Daphnia pulex: one gene and its partners. The protein of the gene in region 4 purifies or fractionates together with the protein of the main gene of each other region. This does not show direct contact. Links are inferred from orthologs where the notes say so. Each region holds a gene or a part of one and is shown on either strand. Other genes may lie near its edges. The genes, in order: serine/threonine-protein kinase prp4-like, E3 ubiquitin-protein ligase RBBP6-like, pre-mRNA 3' end processing protein WDR33-like, RNA-binding protein with serine-rich domain 1-B-like, cleavage and polyadenylation specificity factor subunit 6-like, AMP deaminase 2-like and ATP-dependent RNA helicase DHX8-like.

Evidence for each region.
Region 1: the proteins of RNA-binding protein with serine-rich domain 1-B-like (region 4) and serine/threonine-protein kinase prp4-like purify together in Homo sapiens (co-immunoprecipitation; 4 studies listed by BioGRID and IntAct, with this or other methods). This does not show direct contact. The link is inferred for Daphnia pulex from reciprocal best matches to the Homo sapiens genes RNPS1 and PRP4K.
Region 2: the proteins of RNA-binding protein with serine-rich domain 1-B-like (region 4) and E3 ubiquitin-protein ligase RBBP6-like purify together in Homo sapiens (co-immunoprecipitation; 3 studies listed by BioGRID and IntAct, with this or other methods). This does not show direct contact. The link is inferred for Daphnia pulex from reciprocal best matches to the Homo sapiens genes RNPS1 and RBBP6.
Region 3: the proteins of RNA-binding protein with serine-rich domain 1-B-like (region 4) and pre-mRNA 3' end processing protein WDR33-like purify together in Homo sapiens (co-immunoprecipitation; 3 studies listed by BioGRID and IntAct, with this or other methods). This does not show direct contact. The link is inferred for Daphnia pulex from reciprocal best matches to the Homo sapiens genes RNPS1 and WDR33.
Region 5: the proteins of RNA-binding protein with serine-rich domain 1-B-like (region 4) and cleavage and polyadenylation specificity factor subunit 6-like purify together in Homo sapiens (co-immunoprecipitation; 3 studies listed by BioGRID and IntAct, with this or other methods). This does not show direct contact. The link is inferred for Daphnia pulex from reciprocal best matches to the Homo sapiens genes RNPS1 and CPSF6.
Region 6: the proteins of RNA-binding protein with serine-rich domain 1-B-like (region 4) and AMP deaminase 2-like purify together in Homo sapiens (co-immunoprecipitation; 3 studies listed by BioGRID and IntAct, with this or other methods). This does not show direct contact. The link is inferred for Daphnia pulex from reciprocal best matches to the Homo sapiens genes RNPS1 and AMPD2.
Region 7: the proteins of RNA-binding protein with serine-rich domain 1-B-like (region 4) and ATP-dependent RNA helicase DHX8-like purify together in Homo sapiens (co-immunoprecipitation; 3 studies listed by BioGRID and IntAct, with this or other methods). This does not show direct contact. The link is inferred for Daphnia pulex from reciprocal best matches to the Homo sapiens genes RNPS1 and DHX8.

What each region holds. Positions count from the first base shown.
Region 1 is NC_060020.1:7,009,495-7,011,633, reverse strand, and holds the end of serine/threonine-protein kinase prp4-like, read right to left. Parts: intron 1,964-2,139; coding exon 1,810-1,963; intron 1,745-1,809; coding exon 1,607-1,744; intron 1,487-1,606; coding exon 1,372-1,486; intron 1,300-1,371; coding exon 1,193-1,299; intron 1,105-1,192; coding exon 973-1,104; intron 884-972; coding exon 680-883; 3' UTR 501-679; downstream 1-500. UniProt on the Homo sapiens protein: Serine/threonine kinase involved in spliceosomal assembly as well as mitosis and signaling regulation. Connects chromatin mediated regulation of transcription and pre-mRNA splicing.
Region 2 is NC_060018.1:4,205,544-4,209,843, forward strand, and holds part of E3 ubiquitin-protein ligase RBBP6-like, read right to left. Parts: intron 4,270-4,300; coding exon 3,954-4,269; intron 3,890-3,953; coding exon 3,565-3,889; intron 3,488-3,564; coding exon 3,383-3,487; intron 3,313-3,382; coding exon 3,133-3,312; intron 2,888-3,132; coding exon 2,723-2,887; intron 2,648-2,722; coding exon 1,578-2,647; intron 1,497-1,577; coding exon 664-1,496; intron 585-663; coding exon 380-584; intron 290-379; coding exon 12-289; 3' UTR 1-11. UniProt on the Homo sapiens protein: E3 ubiquitin-protein ligase which promotes ubiquitination of YBX1, leading to its degradation by the proteasome.
Region 3 is NC_060018.1:835,642-838,005, forward strand, and holds the end of pre-mRNA 3' end processing protein WDR33-like, read right to left. Parts: coding exon 1,618-2,364; intron 1,559-1,617; coding exon 1,376-1,558; intron 1,310-1,375; coding exon 1,142-1,309; intron 1,079-1,141; coding exon 615-1,078; 3' UTR 501-614; downstream 1-500. Other genes in the region: 4-trimethylaminobutyraldehyde dehydrogenase A-like, read left to right, coding at 1-148, 208-427. UniProt on the Homo sapiens protein: Essential for both cleavage and polyadenylation of pre-mRNA 3' ends.
Region 4 is NC_060025.1:2,684,696-2,688,214, reverse strand, and holds RNA-binding protein with serine-rich domain 1-B-like, read left to right. Parts: upstream 1-1,403; 5' UTR 1,404-1,485; coding exon 1,486-1,487; intron 1,488-1,588; coding exon 1,589-1,738; intron 1,739-1,794; coding exon 1,795-1,953; intron 1,954-2,020; coding exon 2,021-2,385; intron 2,386-2,445; coding exon 2,446-2,581; intron 2,582-2,645; coding exon 2,646-2,805; 3' UTR 2,806-3,019; downstream 3,020-3,519. Other genes in the region: dehydrogenase/reductase SDR family protein 7-like, read left to right, coding at 1-308; transmembrane protein 11, mitochondrial-like, read right to left, coding at 397-570, 632-744, 811-1,031, 1,113-1,135. UniProt on the Homo sapiens protein: Part of pre- and post-splicing multiprotein mRNP complexes. Auxiliary component of the splicing-dependent multiprotein exon junction complex (EJC) deposited at splice junction on mRNAs.
Region 5 is NC_060024.1:13,144,831-13,149,056, reverse strand, and holds the start of cleavage and polyadenylation specificity factor subunit 6-like, read right to left. Parts: upstream 2,801-4,226; 5' UTR 2,723-2,800; coding exon 2,663-2,722; intron 2,464-2,662; coding exon 2,227-2,463; exon of another isoform or gene 1,586-2,226; coding exon of another isoform or gene 1,418-1,585; intron 1,268-1,417; coding exon 1,040-1,267; intron 784-1,039; coding exon 138-783; intron 64-137; coding exon 1-63. UniProt on the Homo sapiens protein: Component of the cleavage factor Im (CFIm) complex that functions as an activator of the pre-mRNA 3'-end cleavage and polyadenylation processing required for the maturation of pre-mRNA into functional mRNAs.
Region 6 is NC_060020.1:5,365,623-5,368,402, forward strand, and holds the end of AMP deaminase 2-like, read right to left. Parts: coding exon 2,751-2,780; intron 2,672-2,750; coding exon 2,540-2,671; intron 2,470-2,539; coding exon 2,306-2,469; intron 1,953-2,305; coding exon 1,826-1,952; intron 1,712-1,825; coding exon 1,548-1,711; intron 1,480-1,547; coding exon 1,359-1,479; intron 1,285-1,358; coding exon 1,111-1,284; intron 966-1,110; coding exon 855-965; intron 792-854; coding exon 609-791; 3' UTR 501-608; downstream 1-500. UniProt on the Homo sapiens protein: AMP deaminase plays a critical role in energy metabolism. Catalyzes the deamination of AMP to IMP and plays an important role in the purine nucleotide cycle.
Region 7 is NC_060022.1:2,536,267-2,540,262, forward strand, and holds the start of ATP-dependent RNA helicase DHX8-like, read right to left. Parts: upstream 2,801-3,996; 5' UTR 2,669-2,800; coding exon 1-2,668. Other genes in the region: merlin-like, read right to left, coding at 3,278-3,328, 3,387-3,546, 3,609-3,925, 3,986-3,996.

The DNA of each region.
Region 1 (2,139 bases), on a different chromosome or scaffold from region 4:
CATCAGTTCACAGAATTTCAGACCTGTACACTTAAGAAGAAAATATCATACAAATGGCAAAATATCACTTTTCAATACTAAACAAATGGCCAATAAGTTTCTTCCTAATGTAATTTAACAGCTTTGAGGTAAGCTCCTGAGCTTCAAGTGTCACCCACTCCCCAACACAACCCAGTCCAAAGATACAAAGCATTCTTTACGATCGTTTCGAAAACTTACCACAAGCCACAATAATTGTAAATAGTCAGATTGGTGAAATAAGAGCCAATTAAACAGAGTTTTTCTAATTTAAAACCGCGTCCATTCCACATTTATAACATATCCTCGACTTTTCAGTGCCGAACTGACGACAGACACTAGTTTCGTCTTTTGCCCACATGGCGTTGGCGTCGCCTGAACGGCATTTACGATGCTTGTCATTGCCTATGCTCCGGCTGGCTTTTTATGCGATGCGACGACCTTTAAAGCTGAATAAAAAAATCAAAAAAAAATCTAACAAATTTTGTTATAATTAAACTACATGGTGTATTGTCAAACCATTCGATTCATTCAAAATCCAGGAGTAGGCTAGATAAGGGAATAGTGGAGCGAAAGAAAGTATTGAACTAAATCGAAGTTCATCAAATATCCACCGAATGGCGAATAATCTCCAAGCCATGAGATGTCGAATTCAAGAATTCTAAATCTTTTCCGTCACAAATGGGTGGGTTAACGCTTGGTGGATCGTTAATCGTTTAGTTGGATCGAGCATTAGAAATTTGTCTAGCATATCCCGTAATTGCAGGACTTTTCGGTATTGGTCGTCAGGTAAATGTTGACCCCCGATTAATTCATTTTGCAAATCACGTATTGGATTTACTGTAGACATAATAACTACTTTCTCCTACAAAATGCAATTAAAGAGAAATGAATGAAAAGGGTATAAAGCAATAATGAGAAATTTTTTTTTCATTTTAATAAAATTAAAAATACCCTTTCTGTCAGCTTATCCACCTCGCGGGATAGAAAATTAAAACTGGAATCGAAGTGCTGATCTTTAAAGGCTCCTTTTCTGATCAATTTGTTAGGAAATTTCCCTTTTAAATCCATGAACAGCTTCAGCATCTAACAAATTAAATGTAGACAAACACATACATCTTGATGAAACACTGAACAAACGAATCAAACATCAGAAAGTTCATTAAATTTTTACCTGGTTGTTTGAATTACCAGGAAACAAGATTTTACCAGTGTACAACTCATATATGGTGCAAGCCAAAGACCAGACATCAACGCCATAATCATATGGCATTCCTAAAACTACAGGTAGAAATAGTGAGTATTGTAGAGTTCCTTTGAAAATTGTAACCGGAGATTTAATCTACTACTTACTAATCTCAGGAGATCGATAAAAACGGCTGACTAAATAAGGCGTGATTTCATTTTCGGCAACGTGAGATGCTGATCCGAAATCACCTAACTTCAACATTACTTTATTTTCATGAACCTGTGAAACAACGAAATCTTTACAACTTATTTTAAATTCCTAAATGTATTCCATGGCGATTAACCAAAGGAATGTAAAAATTGGAGTTTTAATGTTTTTGAGGATTTAAGTGAGGCTTACTAAAATATTATCTGGTTTGATATCAGCATGCAGAATATTGACTTTTTTAAGAAGCCGAAGCGCTAGGAAAAGTTGCTGACTGTAAGATCGGACGGCTTTGATATTGAGCCCGACATCTTTGCCGTATTTTTTCAAAACCTTCGGAGAAAAGAAAGCATTATGAAATATAAATCAATATAGATATAAATTTATAGTGATGTCACCTCTCTCAGATTCATAGCTAACGGCTCAAAGACCAAGCATAAATGCTGTTTATGGAAAAAGTGTCGAAAAAGTCGAACGCAATGATGTTTGTCTTCCGAATCGGCATCGTTGAGCTTTCGCAAAATCTCCAGTTCTTTGAGCCCAGTTTTATGCCTGAAAAGAACAAAAGAGGATTGCTTTAAATTTGTGTCCACTTAAAAAAATTGGCATCATCTCTCGCCATCATAAGGGAAAAGATATCCGGCGAAAGCCCGTTGATGACAAGGCACATAGTTCACAGCATTACGTAAACAGTTCGATCCAAACAGATTAATACCCAACTGATTGGG
Region 2 (4,300 bases), on a different chromosome or scaffold from region 4:
GCGTTGTATATTCACTGCGAAGAAGTCTTTTTCTGCTTCCGCTTCGACGAAGTCTTTTTGGACTTTTTCTTCTTCTTCTTGGGCTCGCGACTCGAGTCGGAAGAATCACTGCTGGAAGAAACGTGACGCTTCTTACGATTCTTCTTCTTGCGCTTACCACCTCCGCCACCGCCCGATTCAGATGAGCTGCTTTCCGAGTCTGAAGTGCTGCTGGAACTACTGCTGCTAGTACTGCTCGACCAGGAACGCTTCCGCTTCTTGATCTTTTCAGATTTCTCCTTGTCTTTGTCTACGAGTCAGAATGTAAATTTATTCAAAATAGAAACGACGTGAGGAGGACAGCCGAAACAGGGGAAAAAAAAAGAAAAGACGATTGTACCGATTTGCTTGTCATCGTTTTTGCTCGATTTCGTTTTGTCGCCGTGGCGAACGTCAGTGTTGGAAGGCTTCATTTCATCCTTCTTTTCTTTGTCTTCTTTGCTCTTCTTTTCTTCCTTTTCTTTACGTTTGTGTTTCTTATCCTTGTCCTTCTCCTTAGCTCGACTTCGTTTGTCTTTGTCACGTTTATCTTCTTTGCGATCCTTCTGAATAAAACAAACATCGGACACGTTCCCATTATTTCTCAAAGCTGTGAATCAAATCTGTTTGCACTAAATTAATTACCTTGTCTTTGGCGGGACTAGAACGTTTTTCCTTGTCCTTTTTACCACCGTCCTTCTTTTCTTTCGATTTATCAACTTTGGTGTCCTTGGTGTCGTCCGACTTGTCGTGATTCCTAGCAGGTGGTTGTTCCGGCTCAATTTTGTCACCCAACCTGTCGCGCACCGATTTCTTCTTCTCGTCAACGTCAAGGAGTTTCAAATCGACAAGGGCGGGATTGAATTTCGGTACCACTGCCGGGGCGGCGGCGGAGGCGGCGACTCTTAGATTCAATAAGGAATCCGGAGACACTCTTGCGTTTCCGCTGTCGTCCATTTCAATTTCTCCGATCTTTTCTGGGGCTGAATCCAGCAAGACTCGACGTTCGGGTCGCAATTTAATTTCGATCACTTTAGGCTTGATAGCACTAATAGCCCGACGAAAGATGGCATTATCTGGCCGTTTGACTTGACCAGAGTCTCCACCAATAGCGCCAACGTCAGTCACGTTCTTCACGGAGTCAATTCCTTCATCTTCTTCCGAATCTTCCTCCCAGCGCGAGTGCGGAAGTGGCAGAACTTTGGTTTCTTTCACTTTATCGTCCTTCTCTCTTTCCCTGCTTCTATCCTTTTTCACTGTTTTAGAACTGTCGGAATCTTCTTCTGTAGGTGGGATGTCGTCCACGAGTGATTCGAGGCTTTTGTCAGTGGTTATGATAAGAACATCTTCTAAGGCGGCTTCTTCCTCTGGAACTGTCGGAATTCGAAAGTCATCGCTCTCTCGATGATTTGCATGCTCCAATTTCGCTCTGTCGACTCCTGTTGTGGCAGAATCATCCATCACTCCGCTACGATCGCCTGTCAAATACAAAATAGGAAACTGTCAATAAAACTACCAAACTGATGACACCAATTTTTTTGAAGGCAAAACAAATTTACCAGGAATTGATGGCTGGTCCAATTGGTTTTGCGTTCGTACAGCTTCAGCTTCGCGGTCTTCGCTGTCGGCGCTCTTCTTTTTGTCGTGTTTGCTTTTTTTCTTGTCCTTCTTTTCTTTCTCCTTGTCTTTCTCCTTTTCTTTTTCCTTCTTCTTCTTGCGTTTCTTGTCCTTCTTCTTGTCCTCTTCATCCTTTTCTTTCTTTTCCTTTTTCTTCTCCTTTTCACGATCTCTTTCTTTTTCCTTCTCCTTGGATTTCTCCTTGGTAGTCGTACTGGACTTGCTGCTGACCGAACTGGGAGATCCCGCTCGATCACGATCCCGTTCTCGCGAAATGGCTTCCGTTCGTCGACTGGTATCTTTAGTATCCCGGACTTCGTGTCGAGATCTGCCTTTTTCCCGCTCACGATCTCTCTCTCTGTCTCGTTCGCGTTCTCGCTCCCTCTCGCGATCACGGTCACGATCGCGTTCTCTTTCCTTGTCTCGATCTCCTCGCTCCCGATCCCTTTCGCGTTCCCGCTCTCGGCCATCCTTCATATGGCCGTGATCTCTTTCACGTTCGCGCTCTTTGATTCTTTCTCTGGGCTTTTCTGGGCCTTTTTCGGGCTGATCTGGACGACGTGGTTTAGTGTAAATAAGAGGAGCGTCTGATTCAAATTCTCCAGGTGGAGGTGGCGGAGGTGAACGGCGAGTTCGGTCTGCTTCGGGGTTGTAGTATTCACGCTCGTAGTCAGTCCGTCGTTCTTCTCGATATCCACGACCTCTTCCCAGGTCGAGTGAGAGCAGAGAAGGAGGAGCACCTACGATTCCCATTGGTCCTCTTGGTCCCATGTATCCAGGAGGGTAGGGTCCACGTGGTCCCATTCCTCTAGGCATGCCGATTCCAAAGTGTGGTCCTCGTGGTACATAACCACCCATGGGGCCACCTCTGCCGATCGGGCCCATTGGACCTGGAGGACCGCCGTATCCTCTCATTGGTAGGCCTTGTGGACCCATAGGTGGATAACCGTATGGTGGGTAATAATTTGCCGATGCAGCATTAGGGAACTCTTCACGATACTCTCGAGGGTATCTTTAATGGAAAGAAAGACAAATTTGAAACACTTTATTGAATTATAGGAAGAAAAATCATTTTTTGTTTTTTTACCTTCCAGGGGATCCATGTGACGGTGACCGGTCGTAAAACCCATGACGTCCGCTCCGAGGACTAGGAGATCTCCCACCCGATTGAGACCGCGATCGCGATCTACCTCTGCGAGCACGTACTGCTGGACTTCTTCTCCGTCGGCTGGGAGAATGAGATCGAGAACGTCTAAACCATTCACAACCAACACGAGATTAGTCAACGTCTTCTTCAACATACGTGTACCGTGACAAACAAGAAAGGCAAAAAGGAAACAGGAGTCAAGTGTCGAAATGTAAAATATAAAAAAAAATTTAAATAAATTGGCACACGATAAGGAAATCAAAGAAAATGTCTCCTTCAGGGATGAAAAAATGTAAGTGTAACCAAAACATAACGCAAGGATTTTCAAAATAGAAAAGAACGATAATTGCCTTCGGGGAGGAGATCCACTGCGCGATCGACTCCGCTGCCTAGGTGATTTAGATCGACGTGTTCTAGACCGAGAGCGACTCCTTGACCGCGAAATTGATCTTCGCTTTTTTCGTGCTCTGTCACGTTCTTCTTTCTCCTTTAAGAGTTTCTCAAAGGCAGCCAAGGGGTCTTCGATCACACTGAAATTCGTTATTCAATGGCACATTCTAAGTGCGATTCAAACAAAAGGATTTGAATTATTATAAATACCCTTGCTGTAAAATCGGGTGGCTGGCCAGTTGACTGGCTGCACTAGAAGCATGATTGCCGTAGCCTGGAGGCATTCCCATGCCATTAGGAGGAAACGGCGGAGCACTATAACGCAAACAAGAAAAATTTGCTTTAAGAATTGCTTGTTAAATTCAAAAGTCACTCTGCTATGTTCATTTTACCCTGGGTAGCCCATTGGAGGTAGTCCTCTTGGTCCTCCTGGGGGCATCATTGGTCTAGCCCCGGGAGGTGGGATCGATGGACCCTGAAATCTAGGCGGCGGCATGGATCGAGGGAATCCCGGAGGTGGTATGTGAGTGGGAGGTTGGGCAGTCATGAGTGGCTGAATCGGAACAGAATTCTGCGGCGGTATTGTCTGCGAAACCGGAGCAGTCTGTATTGGAGTGGGTGTAGGCAACAAAGGAGCTGACTGTGAAGAATGAGGAATACGCTGCATCGCCATCAGCCCTTGTTGAATTAGGGCAATCTGTTGTATATTCTGTGAGCCTGTAACGATATTTACAACGTCTTAGAGAAACAATCTCTTCTGGAACTAGATTATAGATCATACCAAGCAAGAGTGGATTTCCTTGTAATAAAGCTTGTTGAAGTGCAATCAATGGAGCTTTCTGAGCTAAAATAGACAAATTGTTGACTGTCGGTGGGGTACTTTTCGAAGGTGCGGTAGGTGACTGTTTAACCACATCAGCCTGGGTACCCTCAGCACTAGCAGTCGGAGTTGCAGGAGGCTTTTCATCGACCGTAGGCGTAGGGACTCTAACTTCTTCGAGGCTTTCTCCGCCCGGTGGAGGTGGTTCACTCGGTTCTTCATTAAACTCTTCTTCGGCCACCGGAGAAGTTGCAATTTCTTCCTTGAATTCTTCATCCTTTTGAAATAAAGAATGATAACATCATGCC
Region 3 (2,364 bases), on a different chromosome or scaffold from region 4:
TTCTAACCAATTGCCATGACGACATGACGGTTGTAAAAGAAGAAATTTTTGGACCAGTCGCTACCATTTTGCCGTTTGATACCGAGGAAGAAGTTATTCGTCGAGCCAATCAAACTCCTTACGGATTGAGTGCTGGCATTTTTACAAAGTATTGTTTACCTAAAATAAATCTCATTTCTGTGAAACTTAACGATTACACTTTTACAGAGACCTGAGAAGAGCACACCGAACTTCGGACCGTTTGCAATCTGGTACAATTTGGGTGAACAACTTCAACGTCACACCAGTCGAATTGCCTTTCGGTGGGTTCAAGCAGAGTGGCATCGGTGTCGAATGCAGTACTGAAGCCATCCAATGTTATACTCAGTTGAAGTCAGTCTACGTTGAAATGAATGATGTAGACTGCCCCTTGTACAATTCCAAATAGGCTAACGTCCAACGAGGATTGACCTTTTATTTTGGTGTTTGAATTTTGTTTGGTCCTAGAGTTAGTCAGTTGGTATGTCGTGAACATGGCGAGCATTATTCATTTTCAATTTTGTACACATTTTATAAAAAATGGCGAGAAAATAAGAGATACAAAATCATCCATCAGTCGCATTGAAATTCTTTCATCAATAGTTGTTATATCCTCCTCTTCGAGGTCGCCGACCACCTCCACCCCTCCCGAAACCTCCCCGTCCACCTCCGCCTTCTGGATTCCAACGGCCTGGTGGAGGCTGATGATGCGGTGGTGGTGGATGGAATTGTCCAGGATAGCTTGGAGCGAAATGACCTGGTGGTGGTCCCCTACCACCGTAATCCTCGTCGCCTCTTTCAAAAGGGCCGGGAGGTTCACCACCCCCTCGATAGTTGTTGGGACCAGGACCCCAACCGCCAAAGTTTCCTTCGCCATGCCGATCACTCATTTGTGGAGGTGGGGGAGGCGGATAACCGCCTTCCATCCGCATGTCGTCTTCAATGGGCTGCATTGGGGGTCCTCCATTTCCCATATAATGCAGTTCTTCTTCATTATCGATAGATGGTGGTGGACCACCCCACGCTTGATTTCCACCTGGTGGTCCGTGATGACCTCTCCCTGTTTTTCCATCCGCATAATTAGTTTGCATTAGATTACTTAAACTTAAAACCATGAGCGTACCTCTGCCTGGAGGTGGAAGTGGAGGTCCACTTTGATTAAATCGGTCCTGATGGTGCGGTGGCTGGAAGTAGGGTCTATTCATTGGACCCTGACTATGAGGTGGTCGCGGAGGAAAGCGATCTGGTTGCTGTTGTGGTTCGAAAGGTGGGCGATCCCAATTTCCCATTTCTAAAAATAAATAACCGACAGATAAGTTCAAGTTGCGTCATTTTTCTTCGACTATTTCAATCAAACCTTGAGGTGGAGGTTGGCCTTGCCAGCCTCCGTGATTATGGTGGTGATTGTGTTGCTGCTGCTGTTGTTGTTGCGGTTGCTGTTGTTGCGGTAAATGATGGTGGTGGTGTTGCTGCCCAGCTCCTGGTGGTAACGGATGACGGATGGGCTGAACAGGGTGGCCCCTCTGTTGAAACTCTACAACTATTCAATAATTTAGTACAGTGCCAACAGCAGAACAATCATTTATGCAAATTAATTACCTCTCTGAGGGAAGTCTCCTAGAAGACCACCAGTTGGTGTTGGACCAATTCCTGAATGACCCCTGTTGTAGCCCGGAGAGTCGTCAAGAACAGGTGTTCGAGAGCGCGGATAGAAATCGTCGTCGTCCAATTCTCGATCTTGATTGTACTCGCCAGTTGGAACTACTTCGGGTTTAGTCTCCTCCTCCTCAACAGTAACTTTCAAGCCCATCGAAGATAGAACCTGATTAAACTCTTCTTCGCCAGTACGAATGGCTTTCTCTAACTCTGAATCGGCTTCGATGGACAGTATCGTGCCATCGATTATGACAGCTGTCGGAGTGGGAAGTTGAGTAACAGGCAACGACTGAGCCGTGTCGAGCAATTCTTGCAACTGCTCTGGATCATTAGCCGGTAGGCCGAACAGGGTCAGAGATGCGCGACCCAACTGTTCCATTCCAAAGGCAACGGGATCAACACCAAGGACGTGATCCTCTTCATCAGACAGTACACCCGATGCTGACGATAGGCTGGGAGTGGGTAAGATGGCTGGTTTCTTACTAGCACTGCTCTCATTCCATTGTGCCTGGAAGTGACGTGGAATTGGTTTGGCATACGGAACTTTCTTGATGGGTTTCACGTCTTGTGCTAATGGTTCCACATCCAGACCAGGAATCATGCCTGCGCTTAATAAACTGAGGCTACTCTGACCGAGTTGTCCGTCTCCGCCTTCTGCTTCCACTTTGTCTTCGGGTCCCATTCCTGGGA
Region 4 (3,519 bases):
GAGCGGAAATCCATCGTCACAAGATTGATGTGACAGTCATTAACCCCGGATACATCCGCACAAGTTTGTCTCTGAACGCGCTGACGGGCCGAGGAGACAAATATGGACAGACGGATGAAACTACGGAGTCGGGAGCGGATCCACTCCAAGCTGCATATGAAATTGTCATTGCAATTAAGGAAAAAACCCAAGAGCTGATGCTCTGCTCACTCTTTTATCGTTTAGCAGTATTTCTTCGTGCAATTCTACCCAACGTTTATTTCAAACTTATGGCGCGTCGAGCGGCCAAGAGCAAAAAAAGTCGTTAATTTCTAGTAGAGAATCTCTAATACATTCTGATATAATAAGGATGTATTGTTCAGTTTGTACATTTGGGAAGTTTTCTTTATAACAAGACTACTTGAAGGCAATAAAGTACAGCTTCCAAAGGGTAATGCTAGCTGCTGTAACACAGATGGTGCAATGAAGAGTCTTCCGTTTGTTATCATCTCTTCTTACGAGAACTATGGGACTGGAAGTGGTCAACCTATTAACTGGTAATTTGGCCAGTCTTTTTGTATCCATTTCAACCTGAAGCAAAACCGATATCTGCTATGACCTTTGCCAACTTAGTCAAGTGTATGTATTCTACCTGGTATTTACAGCAAGGATCAAATTGCCAAGATGCTGTGTACAGTCCTGTACACAGCAAGGAAAGGAGACCTAATGGAGTGTATATGTATGGACGATTATCACAGAAAAATCCTAAACAGGAAATTTAACAAAATTAGACTTATATAATGCAACAACTGAATACTAGCAACAATTTACCTGTTATGACCGAACCAAGTCCAGCAAGTACTGCTGTCTTGTGAAGACAATTTCCAACGGCGATCCATCGCGCCGTTTCATCGCCTAGTCGAACTGGCTCAATGACAATTACTGGAACAGCAGCTTCCAGAGCTCGTTCTAGTTCTAGCTCAAATCTTTCCTGGGCGTTTTCACCGTCATAGATTTCTCTTACGACCGCTATTTCCGCCGAATGTGGCCCGCTAAAATTTGAAACAGCATCATAATATTATTGTGACGACCGGAAGCTTATAATATTTTTAAACAGTCATGCAAGGGATTACCTGCTCTTTCTCCTGTCTGCCATTTCTTTTGCCACTTGGCCAGTGTTTTCAAGTGGTTGCTATACGTACTGACGGCCTTGTAGAGTTTCGGCAACAGCCCAAAAACAATCATTGCCGAAACATTTTTTCGTTGCCGTCGGCTGTCGTACAACTAGTTTAACATTTTAATAATAAAAAATTAAATAATCTTTGATTTAATCTTTAAAAAATTCACATAACTTGTTCCAATTAAAAAACTATAACTTTACATTCATAAAAATAAAAACGAGAATCTATTTAATACAGGCAACGTTGTGCAAGTGGCATTAAGCGTCTGTTTTTAACGCTCCTCCCCTTTATCAACTCGTATGTTTTTCAATAAAACTTTCTGAAAATGTGAGTAAATCGAGTTAAATCCTCAGCATCATTTAATAATTTAGTAAATTTTTACGATGAATCTAAATTAACAATATTTTAAATTTGTGTAAATCACTTAGGCCGGACAAAGAAACTGGCGATCGAAAAGACCGGAAAGCCGGCGAAGATTCCAGTAAATCAAAAGATGCTAGCAAAGACAAAAAGGATACCAAAGATTCTGGGAAGAAAAAAGGCAGAGCTTCAAGCAGTGATAGTTCTTCAAGCAGAAGGTAGTGTTAAACTTTGTTGTGTTTAATGAAACCTTCAGCTTAATGTGACATTTCAGTTCTAGATCGTCCAGCAGCAGCAGTAGCAGCAGCTCTAGTTCACGATCATCCAGCAGTTCTTCTTCAGACTCTAGATCATCATCTAGTTCATCTAGCTCTTCTGATTCATCAGGTTCCTCACGTTCCAGCGGTTCATTAAAGAAGCACCAGAAAAAGAGGTAATTATTCTAGTTGGATGACGGTAAACAAGTTTCTTGTGATAACAGCATTTTTGTTGACGTACAGAGCCCCAGCGAGTGATAAGCCAAAAGTTGATAGCAAACCTGATGAAGAGAAAACAAAACTGGATGGAGAAAAGAATGTTGACAAAGACAGAAACAAAGAAAACAAACGATCCCGCTCTACATCTCCCCGGAGGCGTCGTCGCGATCGTTCACCTACACCCAAGCCACTTCGAATCCACATCGGCCGACTGACGCGCAATGTCAACAAGGAACACATTAACGAAATTTTCTCCGTTTACGGAACCATCAAAGCTGTCGAGTTTCCCAACGAACGTGCTGGGTTAAGTCACCTCCACCGGGGCTTTGCTTACATCGAGTTCAGTACTGCCGACGAAGCAGAAAATGCAATGAAGCATATGGACGGAGGTAAAGTAACGTTTGTTGGTTACTGCTATAAATACGTTTTTAATCTCAAATAATCTCTAGGCCAAATTGATGGACAAGAAATCACAGCCGCCCCTGTGCTGATCCCTAAAAACCGTCCACCACCACCTCGACGGAATTCACCACCCAGAAATCGACCGGGCCGTTGGGGCATGGGTGGTGGTCGATCTCCACCAAGGTAATATACTACTAAAGTAAATCTTTATTCCGGTTATTTGCATCTGTTGTGTTCATTTCTACAGATTCCGAAGACGTTCTCCCCTACGTCGACGATCTCCTCCACGAAGGGACAGAGATAGGAGACCACCTCCACCTGCCCGTTCCAGGTCTCGTTCACCCAATCGCCGTTCAGGTGGCAACAATCGCCGTTACAGTCGCAGTTCATCATCTTCTTCGCGTTAAATAAGACAATCATGATTTATTTAACGTTGAAGAACGTCCACTCTTTTTTTTTTATCAACTCAACTTTGTGCTCGTGATTCAGATTTTGCTTTCGCCCGAGCTGTTGCTGATGAGTCAATAGCGTAAATGCCACACGTATTCCGTAAATTTTCCCTTTTTCGATGGAATCCTGCAAGACGATACAATATCACCTGACAATGGCATTTGTCCTTCAGTTGTTTCTACTACATTTCTTTTTCATTTGAAATGAAAAGTCTTATTATTATTTTATCTATCAATTTAAAAAGTTACCCAACCGCAAGTTTATGTTGCCATCTGACGTTTTCCAGTAATCCGAGTAGTAATGCTTTCTTTTTAAAGTCAATGGCTGCTGGAGGAGAAACCGGATAAGCCTTAAAAAAAAACTAGTTGGATCTGTTTGTTGGAAACTCAATAGAAGTGTGTGTAGCGGGACATGACAAGTCAGAACACTTTCATTCCGGTTTACAAGTGACATGTGAAAGGCGGGAGATACGGTTTCGCCTCGGTGTTATAAACACAAAGAAAGGAACAGCAAATTTTTATCAGGGGGAGGGTAGAAATTTCTCACAACCGGAATGTAGCTGTTTCTAACTGCTTTTTTCCTCCTATGAAAAAGTCGATTTGGTAAATTGTGTTGTCTTCCTACATCCGGCAACGGCGCGCCCAACAGTTGGAACAAATTTGTTTGCACAG
Region 5 (4,226 bases), on a different chromosome or scaffold from region 4:
CTTTTGACTGTTTGATGAGCGAAATGGCCGTTACTAGCGTCTCGATTGCACTGGCGTAATCACCTGATTGGATGAAGAAGACAGATAAGTTACTACTGATTTTGGTTCAATGAGCAAAATGAAGCTTGAAGACATACCAGTTGAGGCATCCGCAACAGCTCGAGCAATGGCGGAAGAAGAAACTGTTCGGTTGCGGCCCATCACTTCCTCGAATTCGGCTTCACTGACGTTTGGCGGCTCATTGGTGTGCGGTGGCCGATTATCAGTGATGAATGGTGGTGGTGGGCCGATCGGTGGAGGGAATCCAGGCGGAGGTGCCGCAACGGGCGGAGGGAAGAATGCCGGATTGACGTGAGGAGCTGGCTGCTGGACTATGTTGGCCCATTCTGGCCGGCCGTTGCCAGGAGGCGGAATACGATGAGGATTCATATCCATTCCGGGCGGAGGCCCACGCATCCCCATGCCGGGTGGTGGACCTCGCGGTACGACCGTAGGTGACATGACCGGATGTGGAAGAAGGTGATGCGTCGGTGGCGGAACGGGAATGCCTCCGGGTGTCGGTGGACCACGAACTGAAGGTGGCGGAGGTAATGAGAGACTCGTTAAAGGTGGGGGTCCGGATGAAGAAGCTGACGGACCCATCATCATCCTAGGAGGAGGCCCATTCATTGGAGGAGGTCCGAGTAATCCGACTGTTAGCGACGGAACTCCGGATGGAGCAGAACCGGTACTCCGCGGAGGACTTGATTGTCTAGATGGGCGGCTCTTTGACTGCGCCTCAAACTGAATAAGAAAAATATTTTGACATTAAAAGAAATGCATAAAACATAAATGTTTAAAGATGTTCCAGTCAAGTCGTCCGTTAAGTGTTAAATTGTACGACACTTGTAGGTTTACAGACTTGATTGGTTTTAATGTTGCATTACACTTTCCCACCTTTGAACTGTATTCAATTTAGACAGTCAATGGTTCTACTGGTATGCACTTGGAAAAAATTCGTCTAGCAGCACTAAACGATTAAGAAATGTTTTGATCTTACCTGATTGAGCGCCTGTTTGGATGTGAAGGTGACGATGGGCGTCTGTCCGTGCAGATCCTTTTTGGGAAGTTTGTCCATGCATTGACGAGCGCTGATCTCGGAACCGACGGTGATGACGCAGAAGCCTTTCGACTGGCCGTTGGCTCGGTTTTCATGAAATCGCACCTCCACCAGGTCTTGGACGCCAATCGCGCTGATTGCATTCTCCACGTCGGCATCTGTGGTCCACTGTATTGTCCAACAACCACAAAATTGATGTTGTGTCGTTGTCGTTTGTTGTTGTTTTGGATTGGGTTTGTTTGTTTAAAAAACAAAAGAAAGAAAGATAATATAGAAAAACAAAGCATGAAAATCGTTTTCTGCCGATTACATCCATACCATAATTGTATTGGTCAAATAAAAGATATTTTGATCGGGCACCTTTACACAGCCGCGCAATTTGTAGTGAGTGTATGCCAGAGTGCAGTTTCTTTTTCTTGTCATCATCAAAGATGTTCCTGCACATGGGCGCCAGCGGTTGTTATAATACGTGGCTGAGATTGTCATATCAAGCGATATCCCACCCCAAACTAACAATTCATTCGACTCAAATATCGTTTGGCAGAGATGACGATTTCAGAGATCAAAGGAGAAAAAAAAACATGGGGCGATGGATGTGGCACATCAGTTACGCAAAACTGATTGACAAGAATTTTTTTTCTGGGGAGTTCTATGGAGGACCGCATCCTGAGAAACGTAATACAACACAACTCAAAAACCTTCAGTCAAAGGTTTTGATAGGGGCTAATGATAAGTTTTGATGGACTACTTATGATAGATCAATAGATGATAAAAAAAATTATTTAAAAAGTGCAGATACACAGCGTACAACATGCATGGTCGTTCATGTCCCTGAATTGGTATGCCTTCTCACATACACATACATACATCAACATTCATGATGCCCTTCTTTCAATTTTGAATGCCATCATACAGTTTTATCACACATCATAGCCCCTCCATCATAACAACATGGTGGCTAGGTTGATATCACAGACTTAACAATTTGATTAATGTCGATAAAATAAAAATAAACAATTGGGAACTATCTGGGAATGATTCGATATACAGCACAATTACTTTTTAGATAAATAAAACGACACTTTGAACAATTGGTTTTATAAATGGAAAGGTTTGAATAATCGTACCCACGTCAGATTGCCCACGTACAACTGGATCCTTTTGGATTGTGATGAGCTGTTGCTGCCATGAAGCTGAAGTGGAGTTCCGATCAATGAAGATGAACCATGTAGAGAGCTGGATGTGATATGAGAAGATAGCGTTGAGATCTTCTCCTTTCCATTTAGTTCCTGCTTGATGCTCGTTGAAGATGTCAAGACGTCATCATACAAGTCAACGCCATCGCCAATTTGTTCGTCACCATCCTGTAATCAGTTAAGAAAATAAGTTAAATGATGCTGTCTCATCTAATAACGGTAAACAGCAAAGACGCCACGCCAAACACTGCGGTGGGATAACAACAGAAAATGAACATAAATGTACATAAATAAGTTATTGATAAACGAACTACAGAATATTAACATCGCATTCTTCCGGTAACTATAAATAAGTACGTAAACTTACACCATGAAAATCATCACCAAGATCGTCGGCATACAAGTCAATATCAGGCACGTCAGCCATTTTATGAAGTTTAGTCTATGGCCAACGACCACAGTCTTGAACTTCTTCTCTGTTTCCACCAGTGCTGCCACTTCTGAAATAGCAAAGTCGTGCAGGGTTGCCTAAAAAGTCCCGAAAATCCGTTTTTTTTTTTTTTAAAAATCCTGCACTTTATCTTGCACGATTTTCTTCAAAATCCCGCAAAAATCTTGCAAAAAAAAAAAACCCGCATAAATCCGACACGATCCAACATAATTTCCTAGTTATCCTAGTATATTTGAAGTCTTTTCTTGTCAGACAGGTAAAACATTATTTTGATACTGTTGACCGACAGTTAAAAGCTACACGGAAGCTCGGTAGGATGCTTATTTTAGCCCTATTTCAGCACTTTAAGATTACTTAACACGTTACGCTTTTTGGTAAGAATTATAAACAAACTGAAAAGCAAAATTTCATGCTTCTTCGAAGTGTAACATGCTTACAAAAAAATAAGTATGTTTATAAAAATGAAATTAAGTATGTTTACAGAACAAGTACTTTTAGCAACACACTTATCATAGATTTAACGTACTTAAAGTTTTAAAAAGTATGTTGATGCTTCTTAAGTATGTTAAATAAAAAAGAACAAGTCCTTTAAGCAACACAATTATCATAAACTTAACGTATTTACTTTATTTATAAACGTACTACCCAATGTTTTCTCTGCTGCAACGAAAAAATGACAGAGTCCATTTCATTAACCATTAATCAAGCCCCTTTGTGGCACCTTCGAGATTTTATAAGTCTCCTTTCGTTTTTTTTCTTGATTAGGAAATTTAAAAATTAAGTTTTCGTATTGTTTTCTCTGTTTGTCATTCTATACCTCACTGTTGCACCTCTTGTGTCGAATAAAATCAGAGGAAAGGAAATAAATTTGGCAGGGCCAGTGTTTCGTGGTTGTTATTTTGTCCGTGGCCTTGGTTAGTTCTTCATTTAGATTGATGTTTTCTTAGTACTGTTGATATCACATTATTCTTAGTATAACCTTGTGTTTTTCTTTTTTTCTTGATGTTTTACAGTCAGATATTCAGTGTTGATTCAGATTCTTAGTTGGAAAGTTGTTGTTTCAAATTGGCTGCTGTTGAATATTTGTCTGTTAGTTGGTGCATCAGTTTTGTGAGAAGAATTTTTTTAAAGTGAGTTTTTTGTCAGATATGAATAGTGATTAGTGATATGAATTATTGTGATGAGTTTAGCTAATGTTGTGTGAATTATTATGTGTTACAATTTAATGAAGTGAAAGCAATGAAGATTGTTTTTTTTATCGAAGTGAAATGTTGAAATGTGATAAACATTAAATGAAAGCTGTGGTGAGTCAATCTATTTTTTTTCATTTATATGGAATGTTTTATGTAATGAATTGCAGAGATAGGAATGATATAAATGTTTGAATGATTGATGCTTGTTGTATTTTTTTTGCGGAAGATGGTGTTGGCAATTAATAATTTTTATTGACAAAATTTTTTTTGTAATCTTGCTCGAATGG
Region 6 (2,780 bases), on a different chromosome or scaffold from region 4:
GTTTGAATCTGAGCGATATCGGGCGCTTTATTGCCATTTGCCATTACAGTGTAAAGTAAAACGTTTAACAGATAAGAATAACAGATATAGAAAATATTTTCTACTTCTATATCTCTTATTGAAGCTAGAGCTAGAGTCCATTGCAAATTCAAAGTAAGTTGTGCCTTGTGTGTTTTTAACATTAAAATTCGTGATGTTAGTCCTAATATTTTAGAAACTACCAACTATATACAGTATATATATATTTCAAATTTTGCAGATTAAAAAAAAGCGCTGTTTTTTAATAGTGTATTAGACGAATTTGATGAATAACGATTTATTATGTTTTTAAATAATGGCATTAAAATTTAGTTCTTTTATCTTCTAAAAGCCAGTAATACCAAATCAAGGAATGATTGTTAAAAAACTAATAAAATTCGTTTCAAATAGAGATAAGTCCCCTCCCCTACTTCTCAGAAAAAGAAAAATGCACTCATTACTAATTTAAAAACTTTTTTTTATGTTTTTTTTTTTTTAATATAAGCATGACAAATTCGGTTACTTTGTATCTGCACTTACAGAATCGTTGCTTATTACAGTTTTAACTGTATATAGGCTCTACTTTTCGCTCATTTTTCGTTAACAAATCCTTTATGATCGTTGAGTAAAACAGTTTTGAAAATGCTATTTAGTTCCGCTACCAGTGTTTCATAGCGGTATGCAACGCGTATGTCAGGGACGTTCGTCCTGAAAATGTCATTACCGGCCACACCTTCGCGTGTATAGTTGGGGCCTAGCCAATGTTGTTTCACCTGTTATTTAACACAGCTATTTTACCTTCAAAATAAAAAAAAATATTTTGAAAGGTAATTTACTTTATGAGGGTAGCCACTCATTCGAACGGAATTATGAGCCAATTCACACATGTCGCACGGGCTAAGTTTCCACACTTGAGCTGCAATGCTGTATTCTTCCATTAAAGGTTCCTAAAGATTTTTCAAAATATAGAAACACATAAAGAAACTCTATGTAAAATTTTAACAGATAGCTACAGGGAAATAAGAATAAGTAACTGAATTCTTAATTTATGAGAAGTATTTATGTTAGAAATTCATAACTGTTCATCCATACTTTGGTGAAATGAAATTGAAGCGGATCATCTGTCGAAAGAGAAATGCACATTCCTCGGGCCAGAAACTCGGGAAGTGGATTGCGATGATAATTCAAAAAAAGAGAATTATTGCTCAATGGAGACATTGCTATTCCGATCTGGCACAAGTAGTATAAATACTGCAACACTGGGACCTGTCACCACACCAAGCAGATTCACATATTAATCGATGATGCAGTACAAACGAGTAGAGTTAACAAGAATTCACCTTTCTCAATAGCAAACCATGAGAAATATTTTCAGCGAGAAGGAAACCACAAATCAAATGTTGAACTGGCCCTGCTTCGCCGCAATGAGGTCTGAAGACGAAAGTGTTCATTCCTCGTGACCTGATAAATTGTTTTATCGTGGTGCATTACAATGACATGTTTAATTTTGGATGAAACTCATTGCTTACTTTCGAAATTGGTTTAAAACACACATATTGGCGTAAACGTAGTAGACGTAATAAGCGTAAGGAGGATTTTCTTCTTCCGTCCACTCTTCCGGTGTTGGAACTTCTCTATCGAACACCGGATGTTCAGGTTTACTTTCATCGTCAACAGAATCAAAACCCACCAACTGTTCAATTAACAACAATTAGGTTAATTAAAATAATTTAAAAAAAATGCGATAGCAAAAGATCCTATGCAGTGGGAGCCATCTCTGGTGGGAGCAAAGAAAATAACAGTTTACCTGTTTAAGAAAACAATGTAACTCGGGATGCGCTTCTGGATTGTTGGTTGCTTCGAATAAAGGAAGAAATAGATTGTCGATCAGTTGTTGAAAGTTGCTAATCAGCTTGTTTGATCTATAAATATCACTGCAAAGTAGAAATGTATAGGTAAAATACTTTTTGTAAACTCCCTTTCATTTACAGTAAAGCTTAAAACATTTCAAATTTTGTATAAAGGTTCGTGACTTAATAATACTACTAAGAATAAAAAAATAAATAAATGAATTACGTGGTGAACTAGAGTATATAGTATTATTGCGCCAGAGAGGTGGTCTTCGCAGGTCTCTAGAACTAACATAATCTATCAAATTTAACAGTATGCATCGAATAGTGATGAAATGAGATACCAAAACAATATTCCGCCTTCGTGAGAAACCGTGAGATAACTGTTCTTCAAATGTATTTAATATAATAATGCTATTAAAGTAGAATTTACTTACTATAAACGCGGCATTTGAACCAGCCAGCGGATATTGTCCGAATAAACTTGAAAGTTGTGAGCCCACTTGGCCAATTTCTCCCACTCATCCCTGGATTTTCCATAGACAGATAGTCGCAACTCGGCATTTTGATATTTACTCTCCTCCAAGTCTGCGGCTACCTCCTGGATTTCAAACAACAAAGTCGGTAGGATCAGCGGCAACTTATTTTATTGTTTTAGTTCTTAATTGTACTTTAATAATTTCTGCAAAATATTTCCCTCCCACGTAGTTATCGGTTTTAAGAAATACTTCGCGTAAACGACTTTCTCCTATAGGATTATATTTCGCATTGAACTTATCGAATCGATGGAAGGTATTGCGATCCTAAAACAAAAGAAAGATGCTTGAAAAACAGAAAAAAAGAACTGTACACGTTTAACTGTATGTGTGGATATGCACGTACCGCGTGAACGTCAAGCATGTCGACTGTCAA
Region 7 (3,996 bases), on a different chromosome or scaffold from region 4:
GCTTGGCTTGCGCCTGTGAAATGGGTGTCACCACCAAAGAGTCCATTCCGGTCTTGGAATTGTAGACTTTCTGCTTGACAAAACCAGGATCGACGACATAGTAGATACCGTCGATGGTAAGACTGGTCTCGGCGATGTTGGTGGCGATAACAACTTTTCGGGAGCCTGGTGGAGCCGGTTCGAAAATTCGAGTTTGCATTTCAGACGGTAGAGCGGAATAGACGGGAAGAATGATGAGCTCAGGAACGTCAGGGCCCATGGACTTCATGCGCTCGTATAGAATTTCGCAGGCAGTATCGATCTCTTCCTGACCAGTCAAGAAAAGAAGAATGTCGCCCGGTGGTTCGTTAAGGTGGATCTGCATGACGGTAATGAGCGAGGCATCCAAGTAATCCGTCTCAGGTTCCCGAGTATACAATATCTCGACGGGAAAAGTTCGACCCGGAATGGTGAAGATGGGCGCCTCGAAAAAGTACTGCGAGAATTTCACGGCATCCAAAGTGGCCGACGTTACGATGAGTTTGAGTTCGGCTCGCTTCTGGACGGCTTGCTTGAGAAGACCGAAAAGAACGTCTGTGTGAATAGTTCTTTCGTGGGCTTCGTCCAACATGATGCAGGAATACGATTGCAGATCGGGATCAATCAAGCATTCACGCAGCAACATACCATCCGTCATGTACTTGATCAAAGTTTCAGGACTGGTGCAATCTTCAAAACGAATCGTGTATCCAACTTCCTGTCCTAGACGACAACCAAACTCTTCCGAAACTCGCTTGGCAACGGACATGGCGGCCACACGACGAGGCTGCGTACAGCCGATCTTTCCACGAGCCGTGAATCCGGACTCGGATAGATATTGAGTGATTTGCGTAGTTTTTCCCGAGCCCGTCTCACCGATGACAATTAGGATTTGGTTGTCATTGACAGCTTTGATCAGTTCATCTCTGAGTTTGTAGATGGGAAGTGATTGACGTTGCTCGACGATGGACAAACTAGTTTTCTTGCCGAAAGAGGCTCCTTTCGGTCCACCAGTGATGTGCTTTTTCCATTCGGGCATGTCGTATACAGGGGCTCCCGTTCCGCGACCCAACGACGTTGACGGTGCAGCCCCAGCATCCGGCATGGGATCAATCCAGGTCTTGTTGGCGCCTTGAGCCGGTGCGTCAGCTGCTTCTTGTTCTTCTCTGAGCAACATTTTCTGTTCGCGGCGTTCTTTGCTGAGAGCGCCTTGCATCATGGCGGCTTGAGCTAGAGAACCGTCGGGATTCTTGACGATACGAACCGGACTAAGTTCATTAAGCACTCGACCGTGACCTCGAAGAAAGGGTGCCTCTTCTTCCACCAACTCGATTTCGATATCTTCTTCGTCTTCGGCCAGCTTTGGCAGTAAACCCGTTTCTTCGTCGAATTCGGGCAAGTCCATTTTGTCGATACAATTTGCTGCCATCATTTGCTTCAGTTCCCAGCGTTCAGGAGACGAAATCCGTTGCACACGCTTGCGGTTGGTTAGTTCATCCTCCTCTACATTTGCCTTCAAATCTAGCAATGAGAGAGGTCGATCTGGATTCCTTAAAGCTGTTTCACTTTCCTGGCTGGTTAGTCCAGGGCGGCTTGACGTCGAAGGAGCTGGGTTCAAATCTTCGCCAGTGTCTTGGTCCACATCTTTCATAGAAAGAGAGATCTTTTGGCCAGCAATGCTCATAACTTTGACATGAACCTTATCTCCACGATTGACAACTTCAGCCACACTATTCACACGGCCTTCTCGTCGCAACTGGGAGATGTGCACTAGACCCTCACATTTTTTCCGTATTCCTTCAATTTGTACAAAACAACCAAAAGCTGCAAGATTCATGATTTTTCCCGCGTAGACATTTCCCACTTCTGGATTCTCTGGAAAATCTTTTTGAGGTTTCTTTCGACTTGGGGATTCTCGTCTGCCTTCGTTACTTCTTTTATCATGATGACGATCACTTGTTCTGTTTCGATCTCCTCTATCTGTACTCCTGGACCTGTGACTTCTGTCCCTGCTTCTTGATCTCCTCTTTTGATCTCTGCTTCTTGACCTTCTACTTCGGTCTCTGCTTCTGGATCTCTTGCTGCGGTCTCTGCTTCTTGATCTTCTGCTGCGGTCCTTGCTTCTTGAACGTCTGCTTCTTTCCTTCTTGTCTTTACTCCTTGCTCTTTCCTGAACAGGCTCGATTGCTTCAGTAGAAATCTTTTCTTCTTTAGGAGCCATGGCTTCTAGTTCAGCCATTAAATCGTTAGCTTCTTCAACATCTTTAATAGTCAATTTTATGTCTTCGAGAAGCATTGTTCTTGCCTTAGGGTTATCTGCTAAGGCAAGACCAGGGAAGAGTTCCCGTTTCTTCTCTGTTTCTGCATTGTAAACTGTTTTCTTTACCTGGGCTAAGTTCACATCAGTTGTTTTCGAGTTGGCTGATTTCATGTGTTTGATAAGACGAAGCAAATTTGCAATGAGAGAGTCTGAAAACTCGGCGCCATTCTCCAGCATTACACTTTTGAACTCATCAAAGGTCTTGTGTTTTTCGGCCAATGCGATGATGAACTCTGCCAGATCTTTATCGTTGAGTCCCAAATGGTTTTCCAATTCTGTGCACACCTTAGAAACAAGCGACAGGTGTTCGAGTTTCTCTAATTCATCCATGATGATATAGGATATTTTGCCACTTATTAAATCATTTACAAATTGACAGCACAACAATTGGGATGGCGACGAATGTGGAAATTGACGAGCCGACGAAAAAACGAATGCTTTCGTTGTTAAGACAACGTTGCAAGAATGCTGTAAAAGAAAAATCAAAATTAATAGATGAACTGGCAACATTGCGCGCAAAAAATATTTACATTTTTTCGAAATGAATTTGTTAACTTTTGCGTTTCACAGATTGAAATGAAGAATTATCTAATCTTTCTCGGTTCTCTGCATTTTGTGTTTGAATTTGAATGAAACTTTTCCATGTTCATATTGAATTGGTATTCTAGACATACAGGTTCATTTTGCAAAATTCATATAAGAATGTAAACAACGCCGATGCTGCTACTAGTAAAAGACATTACTCATTAGTCAACAAGAGTTAAGTTTTTTTTAAATGAAAGTCTATTTGTCTAATGTCTATGATGATAAGATTTCACGAAAATGGGCAACTTAGTGAATTAAAGATTATAAACTAAGTTGCATCCATGAAAATGGTCAGCCAATTTAAAATTTATGTACAACACATTGTCAAAAGTAAAATTAAAAATATGACTTAAGCTACAGCTCTTCGAAAAAGGCCACGCGCGCTCCAGTCGATCCAGATTTTGACTAGGAAAAAAAGAAAAATTAACTCAAATTTGAATTAATGACTCTCATTCATGCGTACCTTTTTGAGAGTTGAGTATTTGTCGTCCCCTGAACGGAGTTGCTCTTCGTGTAGCTGATCGTAAAGCGTTTGTTTTTCACCTACTTTCAAGACTTCAATCTCTGTACGCAATTCTCTCAGTTGCTCCTGCAGTTGCTTCGATTTTTCCAAGTATTCGACTCTAAATTTATTTTAAAAAATGAGCAAACAATTACGCAACAATTCCTACGATAGATTTACAACCTCTCTTTCTCAATTTCAAGTGAGAGTTGCTCCATATCGCCATGTGTCATAAGGTCATAGTTGGATGAAGAGTTGACCAGTTCGGAAGCAGCAATAGCTGATAGATATCCACTACTACTTAAGCCAGTTAAGTTGGTGAGGCCAGTAAGCTGATTAGCCAGCGGAATAGGAAGGCGGGCCTCATAAGCCGGCAAACTTGCTTCGTTAGAGACATCGTCGAGTCGTCGTAAATGTTGCTGAATGTCCGACTGATGATGTAAATGGTGGTCTGATCCAGCTACCGACGAACTTGATGTCGGAAACAAGTTGGGAACAGACTGAAAAATGGTAATTGTAGTTATTCGCTCATTAAAATGTTGACAGAAACTGCAAAGTACCAGGACAGACG